Linked DNA regions of Macaca fascicularis. The protein of the gene in region 1 binds, or shares a complex with, the protein of each later gene. Links are inferred from orthologs where the notes say so. Each region holds a gene or a part of one and is shown in the gene's direction. Other genes may lie near its edges.

Region 1 (3,648 bases):
ATAGCTTCTCATTTTTCAGGGCAGGCATATGGAATCAGTCTGAAAGGAGACTATCACAAGTGATTGATTTTCTCTTTTCAAACAGGCCTCTTCTGTAGAATTTATAAGTTGCTCCGTGTGCATTTCCATGTTTGCAGAATACATAAGCATGAGTGTGGAGATAGTATTTTGTGTATTGTAATCAGAGTATTGCAGCTTGAAAGCATAATTTTTTTACAAGTGACCATTCTAGATTTCTGGTTTAGTCGACACTGCAGAATATCACTAAAGTCACCTCTTTGCATGTATTCTTTCAGCACCTTATTTAGCCACTCTGCAGCTTGATAGCAGCCTGTTGATACCACCTAAATACCAGACCCCACCAGCAGCGGCACAGGGACAGGCTACGCCTGGGAATGCTGGGCCCTTAGCTCCAAATGGATCAGCAGCTCCCCCAGCTGGCAGTGCATTTAACCCCACCTCGAATAGTAGTACTACAAATCCTGCAGCAAGTAGTTCCGCATCTGGTTCCTCTGTGCCACCGGTCTCATCGTCTGCCTCTGCTCCTGGTATTAGCCAGATAAGCACTACCTCTTCTTCAGGATTCAGTGGTAGTGTTGGAGGGCAGAACCCCAGCACTGGGGGCATTTCTACGGATAGAACTCAAGGGAGCATAGGCTGTGGCGGAGACACTGACCCTGGGCAGAGCTCTTCTCAGCCCTCACAGGATGGACAAGAGAGGTATGTTACTCACTAATTGAGACGAGTGGCCTCAGCTCAGACCCTTTCTCTCTTCTTCTGCACCTTTTCTCCCTTGACCTCATGATTCTCTGAATCCTATGAAGTGCTCTATTTCTCTTCTTCTCAAAAGAAAGGGGTAATGGTCAATCTAAAGCTGCAGTGTTAAAATTTTGAGACTTCTTATAAATTATTATGACTTATAAACCTTATTATTAAACTTACAATCAACTTAATTAATAACAACTTTGTACAACATAACCACAGAAAAGAAAGGGGAGTTTGAAAAAGATATCTCCCATTTTAGAGGAGTACATTGCCATTTTCCGTCTGCTTTCAATGCTCTCTGGCTTGGTTTGCCTGTATTTTGGTAAGGTGATACATGTTACTCTTACATTTAATCTGTAAATATTCTTTAGGGAGCCTGTGTGCTCTAGAATTGAGCACTTTTGTTTTTCATACTCATGTAATTTATGTTTATTTTGTGTGTCTCACAAGTGACTCTCTTGCCAGTGTTACAGAAAGGGAGAGAATAGGAATTCCCACGGAGCCTGACTCTGCAGACAGCCATGCCCACCCTCCAGCCGTTGTCATTTACATGGTAGACCCATTCACTTATGCTGCGGAGGAGGACTCCACTTCTGGGAACTTTTGGCTGTTGAGCTTGATGCGCTGCTACACAGAAATGCTGGATAATTTACCTGAGCATATGAGAAGTTCTTTCATTCTCCAGGTTACTGTTTGCAAGTTTATTATTTACTTTTGATGTTGATGTTTTTGTTGTTGTGAAAATAAATACAGGCTTATGGTTTTTCTTAAAAAATAGAAGTACAGGTTAATTATCCTCTAACCAAAATACTAGGGACCAGAGTGTTTTGGATTTCTGATTTTGGAATGTTTGCATATATGTAATGGGAGACCTTGGCAGTGGACCCAAGTCTAAACATAAAATTTGTGTTTTATATACACCTTATACACTTAACCTGAAGGTAATTTTATACAATTTTTTTAATAATTTTGTGCTTTATACAAAGTTTTGATTAAATTTGACTGCAGCACATCACATGAGGTCTGATACGGAATTTTCCACTTGTGGCGTTTTATTGACATTCCAAAAATTGTGAGTTTTGGCGCATTTTGGATTTCAGATTTTTTGATTAGGGATATTCAACCTGTACCCGAAAGTATAAAAGAAAAAATAATCATAATTCTGACTTTTACATTCAACCACCATTACCATTTTGGTGTTTTTCTAGCTTGTTTTTCTATTTTTGTTTACACAGTTGAGATCATACTTTTAATATAACTTAGTTTCTATCTAATGTTATTCATGAATACATTTTCATGTTATTTAAATTCTTACAAGCATTTTTAATGACTGCATATTTTCCATAGCCATTCCTATATCTCCACTTCTTTACTGTTATAAATAAAGCCATAGTACACATTTATGTATAATCTTATTTTTCACATTTCAGGTCATTTTTTAACATGGATTCTTAGATGTAGATGCTGACACATATTGCCAAATTCCATTCCAAAAGAGATTACACTTACTTTCCTTTCATCAGTGAATGAGTATGCTTATTTTCACTGCACCTTTGACAGCTTTATAGTGTGATGATTTTTTAAAAAATTCTATATAGATGAAAAACAGTGCTTCGGATGTTTGGGTTTCATTTTAATGTCACTTTAACTGAAGCTATCTTGTAAAATTAAAAGATTGAAATTAAAGTTATCAGAGTACATTGCTGATAGTTTTCCATTGTTTTGAAGTCTGTATCCTAAATGATTAGGTAATAATTCCAAAAAATGCCACACACACTGTGTAATTATAAAAAGGAGAAATATAATACAATTTGGGGGCCATGGTAATACCTGTAATAAATTGAGATCTTACCTCTCAAATGGGAACATGGTAGTTTCTAAGTGACAGTATAACTTGACCCATATAATCGTACATCTTTCGAAATTGCTGGTGATAGAGAATTTTATGTCAGTGGAAGGAATTAGGATTTAATTATATTATGTGTGACACTGATATATTTTAGGGCTGAGGTTACCTCTCCCCATGTGGTAAGGAATTCATGCCGTTTCCTTTTTCAGCTTGCTTGTTAGCGTGTTAGATCTCAGTTTCTAGGTTTTTGGTTTTGTTTTGTTTTTTGTATTTGTGTCTTTAGATTGTGCCTTGCCAGTACATGCTGCAGACAATGAAGGATGAGCAAGTTTTCTACATTCAATACTTGAAGTCCATGGCATTTTCAGTGTACTGCCAGTGCAGGCGACCATTGCCTACACAGATCCACATTAAATCCCTCACGGGATTTGGGCCTGCAGCCAGCATTGAGATGACCCTCAAGAACCCTGAGGTGGGTATTGGCAGGACAGGAACTTAGAAAATTTATACTAAAATGCAAGCTAGGAGAGGTATTTTATCTAACCTAGAGATTGGCTGGTTGCTTAGTTGGCCTTCTACCTTGATATAAGAGTTGCTAGGCTGGATGTGGTGGCTCACGCCTGTAGTCTTAGCACTTTGGGAGGCTGAGGTGGGAGGATTACTTAAGCCTAGGAGTTTGAGACCACCCTGGGCAACATAGCAAGACCCCGTCTCCACAAATTTTTTTAAAAAAAATTAGCCAGGTGTCAGTGATGATGTGTGCCAGTAGTCCTGGCTGTTTGGGAGGCTGAGACGGAAGGATCACTTGAGCCCAGGCGTTTGAGATGGCAGTGAGCTGTGATCACACAACCACTTCCGCCTGGAGAGTAAGACCCTGTCTCAAGCGGGGAATGAAAAAGAGTTGGCAGATTTCTTTAACTCTTAGATTTAAATAGAGGAGATATTTCTCTGAACTTTTAAGAATTTTTGAGAAAAGAGGCAAGCAAATTCTTACTGTTTTTTTTTATGTAGGACTTTAGGCAATAATATATGTA
Region 2 (4,116 bases), on another chromosome or scaffold:
TCTCAAAGAAAGCCCAAAGATTTCTTTACAACTTATTTTTTACAATTCCTTTACAGTAGCCCCAAAATTTTATCCACTTTCGCATCCTCAGGATCAAGCAGAGTGCCTAGAGTGTACACTCTAGAAATGTTGATTGAATTAAGAAACGGCTGACAGTGTGTGCAGGTAGTGTGGCCACAAGAATAGTTTCAAGTCCCAGGCACTCATTAGTTGCATGACCTGGGGCAAGTCGCCTAAATATACCAAGATCCATTCCTTCACCAATGAAACAGGACTACTACTACTTGCCTTCCCTACCTTACTGGCTCCTCAGGAGGCTTTACATAATGAGCGGCACTGTAAGATGCTATACACGTATATGTACAGTTTTGACAGGGCTGTTTCTTAGTCTAAATGGTGAAATGGAAAGAAACCTGGACTCAACAGTCAGAAGCTGTTGGGCCGTTGTACAGGGCTACGACTAACAGGTTCCGTTTTCCCATATTAAACACAAAGTTTAGTCTCGACGATGTTTCGGACTCTGCACTTTACAGTCTGTTAAATCCGCTACAGGCTCGGAACCTCAGGTGTCCTCAGAAAGGTAAACCCCAGGGTTCCCAGATGCACCTGCAAGGGCAGGGACAGTCAAGGTCGCGGTACTGAGACGCGGGACGCTCACCCAGTCAAAGTCACACGGGTTACCGTCTTCGCGTTGGGTGGGCAAACCGTCGCAGAGTGGCGGCAGTTTCCTCACGAGTAGGAAGGCAGCAGAGAGCAGGGCCGACAGAAGGTAGTAAGGTTGGGCAAGCCATCGTGAAAGTCGCGGCACCGAATACACCAGAGCAATTAGAGGAGCCAAGACCGCCATCTTTTCGGCCGCAAGGGCCACTGCTCACCGGCGTCGTAGGTCCGGCCCCGCCTCCCCCACCATAGCGACTGCTATTGGGCTACATCTCAAACGTACGGCCTCTAAACCCGGATGTAGTTCTGTCAACGCTGTGGTATGTCAGAACCCAAAAAAGAACTTAATATCTTATTGGTTGGTCTAGCTGTCGCTTTATCAGCTTAAGTCATTTTATTGGACTGTAGCTAACGTAGCTAGCAGAAGACTCTAATAAGGTTAAATAGCACTTCCTGAACGTTCTCAGAGAGCGACGGAAGTAGTTGTTGAAACAAGGTAGGCGGTGCCTGAGGCATCCAATGACAAGCGGTTCCTTGAGAAAGAGGTGGGTATTCCTTAAAGGCATTGTCCAATGAAAATTACCAACGCCAGACACCGAGACAGCGCCGGGGCGGAGGGGACGATGGAGAATTTCACGGCGCTGTTCGGGGCTCAGGCTGACCCACCACCGCCCCCAACCGCACTAGGCTTCGGACCAGGAAAGCCTCCACCCCCGCCACCGCCTCCTCCGGGCGGGGGACCCGGCACGGCTCCGCCTCCCACCGCGGCCACGGCCCCTCCCGGCGCGGACAAGTCAGGAGCTGGCTGTGGCCCTTTTTACCTCATGAGGGAACTGCCAGGTGAGTACTCGGCCTTGCCAAAGCCAGCCAATCAAATCTTAGAGAGGAGGTGTTGGGCGTGGCTCTCAGCCGGCTAACGGAGGTGCGAGGTAACCTAGGCAACGCATACCCGGACTGTGGAGCCCTAAGTCGAAAGGGCTATTAGGATTCACAAGCAGAGGGATGAGTTGAATTCAACCAAAGGGATGAATGGCGGGGAGCGGGGTGGTGCATCTCCGTGACTGTCTTTTGCACCATGTCCAGGCTGTGTTCCTGACACTGGTTTATGTCTCCCTAAAAAATTATCTAGGGCTGGGCGCAGTGGCTCACGCCTGTAATCCCAACACTCTGGGAGACGGAGGCGGGCGAATCACCTCAGGTCAGGAGTTCGAGACCAGCCTGGCCAACATGATGCAACTCTGTCTGTACTAAAAACACAAAAATTACTTGGGCGTGGTGGCGTATGCCTTTAATTCCAGCTACTCGGAACCCGGGAGGCGGAGGTTGCATTGAGCCGAGATTGCTCCACTGCACTCCAGCCTGGGCGATAGAATGAGACTCCGTCTCAAAACAAAAACAAACAAACAAAAAATCAAGAGTTTGAGTTTGGAACTCGAGAGGCCTGATTTAATATCTTTGGGGACCTAAAGTTTTAGTTACAAGTCTCCCACAGACTTGCTGTGGGTTTGGGGCAAGTTGCCACTCTTCCAAGATTTCTGCGTTTCCTGGTGTCATCAAAGAAGGGGTAAGAATCGAACCAAACTCTTTTCATTCAAAAAATTATTTTGTTGAGTACCTATGTACCAAGCACTTTTCTAAATGCTGGAGATACAGTTGTGAACGAGACTGACAAGATGCTTGCCTTTTTTGGAATGTACATTTCAGTGTAGGAGGCATTGTAAACAAGATAATGTCAGAGAGTGGTTAATGCTAGGAAGAGAAAACATTATAAAAAATTGAAGGTGGCCAGGCGCATTGCTCACGCCTGTAATCCCAGCGCTTGGGTAGGCTGAGGCAGGAGGATCCCTTGAGCCCAGGAGTTTGAGACCAGCCTGGGCAACATGGCGAGACCCAGTCTCTACAAAACATACAAGATTAGCCGGCCGTGGTAGTGCTTGCCTGTAGCCCCAGCTACTCAGGAGACTAAGGGAGGAGAATTGCTTGAACACAGGAGGTCCAGGCTGCAGTGAACCAAGATTGTGCCACTGCACTCCAGCCTGGGCAACAGATGAGACCCTGTCTCTTAAAAAAAAAATTGAGGGGCAGAACTACTTTAGCTAGAGTGGCCAGAGATGCTCTCTCCACATAGCTAAAATTTGAACTAAAATGTAAGCATAGACAAAGGGCCAGCCAGCTATGGACAGGAGGGAGAGATAATTCTAGATACAGGAAATGAGGTCAGAAACCCTGATGTGAGAAAAAGCTTAGAATATCTGAGGGACAGAAAATCAGTTGGACTCCAGTGAAGTGAACAAAAGGAAAGAGTGTTAGGAGAGAGATGAAGCTGGGAGAGTTAGGCAGAGGCTTTTATAAAGCAATAAAGGCATTTAGATTGTAAATACAAAAGGAAGCCATTTAAAACAATTTTTTATAGAGACAAGGTCTCACTGTGTCACCCAGGCTGGACTGCAGTGGTACAGTCATAGCTCACTGTAACCTCCAATTCCTAGGCGCATGCTGTCCTCCCACCTCAGCCTCCCAAGTAGCTAGGACTGCAGGCATGTGCCACCACAGTTGGCTAACTTAAAAATTTTTTGTAAAGACTGGGTCTTACTGTGTTGCCCAAGCTGGTCTTGAACTCCTGGCCAATGACAGTCCTCCCACCTTGGCCACCCAAAGTGCTAGGATTATAGGCCTGAGCCACTGTGCCCAGCCAAGGAAAGCCATTTTAACATAGGAACTTGGTCAAATGTACTTATTTAGAGAAGTAAATGGATACAGGGTGTTAGACGTAGAGCTGACAGGGTTGAAAAGCTGAATATAGGGCCAGGTGCTGTGGCTAACGCCAGTAATCCCAGCACTTTGGGAGGCTGAGGTGGGAGGACTGCTTGAGCCCAAAAGTTTGAGACCAGCCTGGGCAATATAATGAGACCCCATCTCTACAAAAAATAAAAGTAAATTAGCTAGGGATAGCAGCGTACACCTGTAGTCTCAGCTACTTAGGAAGCTGAGGTGGTAGAATCACTTGAGCCCAGGAAGTTGAGGCTGCAGTGAGCTGTGATTGTGCCACTGTGCTCCAGCTTAGATGATAGAGGAAGAAGCTGTCTCAGTTAAAAATACATATTGTATATAGAAGTGAAGGAGATAGAAGAATTGATGCCTTTTTAAGTTTTCAGCTTGAATAATTGGGTGTATGGGTATGAGACTTGGAAGATGAGGAAGGAACAAGTTTGAAGAGGTGGAAATCGAGTTGTTTTGGACATGTTTGGTCTCCAAGATGCTGCCTTTCTCTCTCTTTTTTTTTTTTTTTTTTTTCTCCTGAGACAGAGTTTTGCTCTTGTTGCGCAGGCTGGAGTGCAATGGCGCAATCTCGGCTCACTGAAACCTCCGCCTCCCAGGTTCAGGCGATTCTCCTGCCTCAGCCTCCCGAGTAGCTGGGATTACAGGCATGCGCCCCCACACCCAGCTAGTTTTTTA

The links. Proteins that work in one complex are often made in the same cells at the same time.
Region 2: MED13L (region 1) and MED19 share a complex: the UniProt entries of both Homo sapiens proteins name them as parts of the mediator complex. The link is inferred for Macaca fascicularis from reciprocal best matches to the Homo sapiens genes MED13L and MED19.

The regions. Positions count from the first base shown.
Region 1 is NC_088385.1:122,931,247-122,934,894, reverse strand, and holds part of MED13L (mediator of RNA polymerase II transcription subunit 13-like), read left to right. Parts: intron 1-296; coding exon 297-720; intron 721-1,230; coding exon 1,231-1,450; intron 1,451-2,897; coding exon 2,898-3,086; intron 3,087-3,648. UniProt on the Homo sapiens protein: Component of the Mediator complex, a coactivator involved in the regulated transcription of nearly all RNA polymerase II-dependent genes.
Region 2 is NC_088388.1:15,892,965-15,897,080, forward strand, and holds the start of MED19 (mediator of RNA polymerase II transcription subunit 19), read left to right. Parts: upstream 1-1,250; 5' UTR 1,251-1,283; coding exon 1,284-1,500; intron 1,501-4,116. Other genes in the region: TMX2 (thioredoxin-related transmembrane protein 2), read right to left, coding at 659-847. UniProt on the Homo sapiens protein: Component of the Mediator complex, a coactivator involved in the regulated transcription of nearly all RNA polymerase II-dependent genes.